Linked DNA regions of Kluyveromyces lactis. The protein of the gene in region 2 interacts with the protein of the main gene of each other region in a pairwise test. Links are inferred from orthologs where the notes say so. Each region holds a gene or a part of one and is shown on either strand. Other genes may lie near its edges. The genes, in order: SRP14 and SEC65.

The links.
Region 1: the proteins of SEC65 (region 2) and SRP14 interact in binary tests that used the Saccharomyces cerevisiae proteins (3 or more experiments, as listed by UniProt). The link is inferred for Kluyveromyces lactis from reciprocal best matches to the Saccharomyces cerevisiae genes SEC65 and SRP14.

What each region holds. Positions count from the first base shown.
Region 1 is NC_006042.1:679,300-681,823, reverse strand, and holds SRP14 (RNA-binding signal recognition particle subunit SRP14), read right to left. Parts: upstream 1,236-2,524; coding exon 780-1,235; downstream 1-779. Other genes in the region: clathrin-mediated endocytosis regulator UBX3, read left to right, coding at 1-661. UniProt on the Saccharomyces cerevisiae protein: Component of the signal recognition particle (SRP) complex, a ribonucleoprotein complex that mediates the cotranslational targeting of secretory and membrane proteins to the endoplasmic reticulum (ER).
Region 2 is NC_006040.1:164,734-167,869, forward strand, and holds SEC65 (RNA-binding signal recognition particle subunit SEC65), read right to left. Parts: upstream 1,397-3,136; coding exon 584-1,396; downstream 1-583. Other genes in the region: orotate phosphoribosyltransferase URA5, read left to right, coding at 1-471; RRN9 (Rrn9p), read left to right, coding at 1,682-2,920; MDM1 (Mdm1p), read right to left, coding at 2,896-3,136. UniProt on the Saccharomyces cerevisiae protein: Signal-recognition-particle (SRP) assembly has a crucial role in targeting secretory proteins to the rough endoplasmic reticulum (ER) membrane.

The DNA.
Region 1 (2,524 bases), on a different chromosome or scaffold from region 2:
TTGCGATGTTACAACACCACAAGGGCTACAGACTGCTAATTCTTTAAAGATTAGACAGTTTCCATTTTTAGGTGCCCTTGGACCCCAACGGAATAATAAAATGAAATTGCTTGCCAGAGTGGAGGGCCAACTATTTGATTATGATTTCTCTCATTTTGAGGCCAAATTAGCCTCATATTATTCAGTATTAGTTGAGATTAGAAGGCAAAGACAGTACCAGGAAATGCAACGGTTATTAAGAGAACAACAAGATTCGAGATACCAAGAATCGCTAGAAAGGGACCAGGAAAGGGATAGGGTAATCGAGGAAAGCCAACTTAAAAAGAAATGGTTGGCTTGGAGAAAATCTGTACTAGTGCCAGAACCATCGGGTGACGGTTGCAGAGTAAGCATCAGACTAGAAAATGAAAGAATTATTAGAAGATTTGATGCTTCATTAACAATTGAGGAGATTTACGCATACGTTGCATTATACAGAGCAGGTTTATTATCTGACACTAGCAGCGAGAATGATATTACACAAGAAAAACCAAATTACGAGTATCAGTATGACTTTCAACTATATTCACCTGTGCCCAGAACCCGTTTGGAGCCAACCACAGTGATCAAGGAAGAACGGACAATTTATCCATCGGGAACAATTGTCGTGGAGTTCGAATGAAAACCAAATTACTGGTTTGCAGTTTGACATCTATATATGTATATATAACATGTACTTTATAATGCTACACGATTGCGGATTTATGATTCATGGGTGATAATAGGTTGGGAATATTTCATCAGTTTTTCTTACCACCCTTCTTCTTCTTCTTCTTTTTAATTAATCCAGACATACTTGTTTTTACAACATTAACATAATCCTTCCAAAATTTATCAAGAGTCTTTGAATCTACCAAAGTGAAGAATTTCGTTCGTTTCCCATCATATGGCATGCTCACTAGCACGATAAGTCTGTATGGTTTTGTATCTGGTTGAGCGTTTTGTTTTAAACGTTTGGATTCTGACATCTTTGAGATATCACCAGTAGGATTGGAAGTAACATCCAATTCATTAGGTTTTTGAACGTGATGACTGCCCAAGTCTCTTTTCAAGCTTACTTTGAGCTGATTGTGCGATACCTTGGACATTCTGAAAGCTTTTTCAAGCTTAACAAAAAATTCGTCATGAGACAAAGGTTTCTTTATGAAATCTGGCGTTTCCTTAAGCCCACTAGCGGTTCCATCTTTGTCTGACATAATGGGAAGTTACCTGTATATTCTGGTGACTTGGATAAGTGATGATATTGAACCTTTTTCTTTGGACATCTTTACCATATTCTGCCTGTCGAAGGTTGAATCTAAGGCCTTTCCCTCATTTGACTGGAGCTAAGTACGATTTTTTCAACTGGCAATTACACTACCCGGCCATCGTCCCTTCACTATGTGTTTCCTCTTTATTTCTACGACGTTTCTGATATCCACTCTGTTTCTATACCGGTAAACAAGTGCAAAAAGAATGAAATGTGGCAAACCACGTGACGTTCTTCATTACCCGGATAACATTTAACATCTGCGCCAGATTTGCCAAATCAATTGTGCCTATTCACCTGAACCCGAAAAGAAATTCGTTAGTTTTTTTAGAAAAAGAAATTTCCGATCCTCGATCTTGTTTTTCCCAACAAAAAAAAAAAAGAAAAACAACAGGTCCCCATACTATATGAGATGAGACGAGATGAGATGAGATGCGATGAGTTACAGAGAAACAGAAAGGGGGTAGTCATTGTCACTTTGCACTAAAGAGAAGCGTGTGTAAGCTTCTCTGTCATCAAGGAGATTACGGACTGTTTTTTGAGGTATCCTATTGGATATGTAAGTTGATCGCGTGATTTGCTACAGAGTTTTGTTGGCAATGTTACACCTTCAATCGATCAACTGTACATTCTCTCACCCTTGATGAGAGATCCGGGAGTATCCAGTGTTATTGTAGAAGCTCAATTGTCAATCGATGGCAAGATATCAGACATTGGTGTCTGTTTTGTTTTTTTTTTTTTTCTCTCCCTACTAGCCTTTGACGCATTTTCCTTTTGGTTGGATTTGGTTTCATAAAGAATCAGTGTCCCTCGCTGATTTCACCACAGTACAATTCGTAAAAAAAAAGAATTGAAACATTAAACCGTTAAGCGTAGCCAATACAATCGTTTATAGGTGCTTTTTTGTCCAATTGGATATTCGTTCTTAGTATTTATTTGTAGTATATAGTGAATAAGCAAGATTGTGTTACGATTGGTATCAGCAACGGAGTGATAAATCCATCCTCATGCCCTGTTAAGTCCAGGCCCTTGGATATCAACGGCATCAGTAACTTCCAATGTGGACCCTTTCTTGACGCGCGCTGGCAGGGAGATCAATGTAGTGCACTCCGTTACTTTTCGAAATATATATTTCTTACTTTTTTTTCTCGTTAACGCTGCTGCGGCGTATTGTCTAAATACATTAATTCAAATCTTTACCGTAATTTCATTTCCAATATATAAAACCAAAGGCAG
Region 2 (3,136 bases):
ATCTTCGGTCCCGCTTACAAAGGTATTCCATTAGCATCGATCGTTTGTGTGAAGTTAGCTGAAATCGGTGGTTCGAAATTCCAAGATGTGAAGTATGCCTTCAACAGAAAGGAAGCCAAGGACCATGGTGAAGGTGGTAATATCGTTGGTGCTGCACTAAAGGACCAAAAAATCTTGATCATCGACGATGTCATGACTGCAGGAACTGCAATCAACGAAGCGTTTGAGATCATTGCCAAGGAAGAAGGCAAAGTTGTTGGATCCATTATCGCATTAGACAGACAAGAGGTGGTTAACACCGAAGACACCGAAGTTCTAAGTGCTACTCAATCTGTTTCTAAGAGATATGACATCCCAGTTTTAAGTATTGTCAACCTGTCAAACATTATCAGCTACTTGGATGGCAGAATCTCTGTGGAAGAAAGGGAAAAGATGGAACAATACCGTCAAACTTATGGTGCATCTGCATAATATCACCCTCGAATCTATCTTAACATATATAATTATACATATTTAAAACAGACACTGGGAAACGCCGCTTCTTGTTTAGATATTTGGTGATAAAAATGACAGAAGTATTCCATTAACGTCTTACTACACGGAACTTGTTCTTTGGCATCTTCATTTGTTTCTCTGGTGCAGATACCTGCTGCGCGGGAGGCGGAGGTGGAGGAGCATCATATAGCGATTTTGTCATTGGATGCTGTGTCAAGTATGGACTATGCAATGGCACGATGTCATTCATTGCTGTTCCCTTCAATAAAGGAATCTTCTTCGGTTCTACGTTATCAAAATCTGGTCCATATGGAAGCTGTTTTACACTCTCAAGTGTTGTAGGATGGCTCTTCAAGTACTCTCCAATACGCTTCATCAATACTCGCTTGTTATCGATTCCACTCACAAATGGTTTTCCATTTTCCTTGATCAACACACGTACTCTTCCCGGATTACCAAAATCTTGTGGATGTGTCTTTGATCCTTCGAATATTGATGGAATTCCAAGCGATCTGGCAGCATCTGCTATCGTCTTGGCCAATGGGTTCTCCACACAAAGATCTTTTGGAGCACGTCTCCCTTGGGCATGCGTCCTTCTAGTGTCGAAATAACATGGATACAACATCTGGAATTCTTTGATCTCATCCAGCTCTTCTTTAGTCAAAGAATGACTCTTTTCCACTTGACCGGTGGTGCTATTAACAAAATTGAACCCACTACCGCTGCCTGCATTACCAGAAATTGCAGCAGAATATGCTTCTTCTTCTTGATCTTGCGATCTAACCACAGTGGGTACGATCTTTGGTGCCACTGGTGTCTTCATCGTGGAGTCCAATTCTGCGAGATCCATCTCTAAATTATCGATATCATCGATATCATCGATCTCTTCAATCACAGGCATTGTGTGTAAATATCCCTAACAAATACTGTAGCCTTAACTATTGCTTGGTTGATGCTGCTTTGTTTCCAACTCTTTGAAGTGGTCGTTCTTATCCACTGTTTAAAGCTCATCAAAAATTTTCAATTGAATTTAAAGGTTTAGTAGGGATAGAGAACTAAAGAGGATCAACTAACATGAATCCAAACAGCTACTAATGATTGAGTTCATAGCAATTGTAGCCGCTGGACTTCAAGTGGGTAGCTAACATTGTACCGGTCCCTTTTTATTCGGTTTTGTTTCGGTAAAATGGACTCACAACTGGCCCGTGATGCCATAGATCTGTTAGCAACGCTAGATCAAGAACAAAGGAATGATCTTTCAGTACATTTATACTCTGCGCATCTATTGAAACACTTATTGTATAGAGCGAATAAGGATGAGAAGAACATATTACGTACCGAGACGTTTGTGAAGACCGTCTTGAAAGAAGATTGGACCGCGTGGCCGAGCAGAAATTCAATAATCGACCCCAATACATCCGATATATATGAAGATCAAGCAGGGTGTCTCGCCTCTGAAAATATAGGCGGTATTCATAGGAAAGGGGTACAACCGGGTCAATTGGACCAGTCATCGTTGAACCATGCGACAGAGATGTTATATGGAGAACTCAATGCGTTCTGGCAGCAGAAACTCAAAGAGAGTTCGGTAATGGGCCAACAAACTGAAAATAAGACCGCCGATGAGGGTCAGATTGAGGATCCAAATACAATTGTCGATGAAAATGACAGTGAGATACTTGGCGTAAATGATACGGCGCTGGACGTCAACGAAATGGATTTACCAGATGATATATTTCAAAACCTACTGTTCAAGGTGGATAGGTTTATTGGATCTTTGCATTTGGATGCAGCTGAGACCAACACTGTCACGTTATCGACAATTCCTAGTGAGCCTGAGATCAAATTAAAGAGTACCACCATAGGCAATACTGAAGCAGTGACGACCAGAAGTAAAGAAAAGTACGATTACAAGGACATAATTGTGCACGGCTGTGAGACTGGGGAAGATATGTCTCGACAATATTTGCGGGCCATTGATTTATTTCAAGATCTGCCGAAGACTATGGACAAATCGCAGTTTGTACTCCCGGATGCATACTTGGACAGGTTCTCTCAGGTGAACCTGGGCAACTCGGACTCGGAACAATCAGATGATGATCCACAAGATCATACAAAGCTCGAAGAGAACATTAAGAAGAAAGAAAACAGTGGTAAGAAAGACGTGAAATCGTTCGTTGATATGAAACGAATTATCAAGGATCGTAATAATGATCCTGTAGTGAGAAGAGAGACAAGGCTCCTACTTAGGAAGGATGAGTTTGCGAGGGACAAGAAAATGTTCTTCACGGTCTTGAATCACCAAAACTCGAGTGAGCAATCCAACAAACCTCGAAGAAGAATCAAGAAGAGAGATAAGAACAACAATAAAAATATAGTTTCACTAAATATTGACTCGGATTATGGACCTGGAGACTTGGATTGAATTCGTTTAATCTCATCAAACATGACATCCATAATCTCGAGCATCAAACTAACATTTAAATACTCGTTCTGTAGCATTGAATGTAATCTATATCCTGCATTGCTCGCATACATTGTGCCGACCACTTTCCCGCAAGTCTCTACCATAAACCTTTCAAGCATCGCCTGCGATTCTGTACTGGTTCGGATAATTTCACCTTCGGTCCTGGCTGATGGC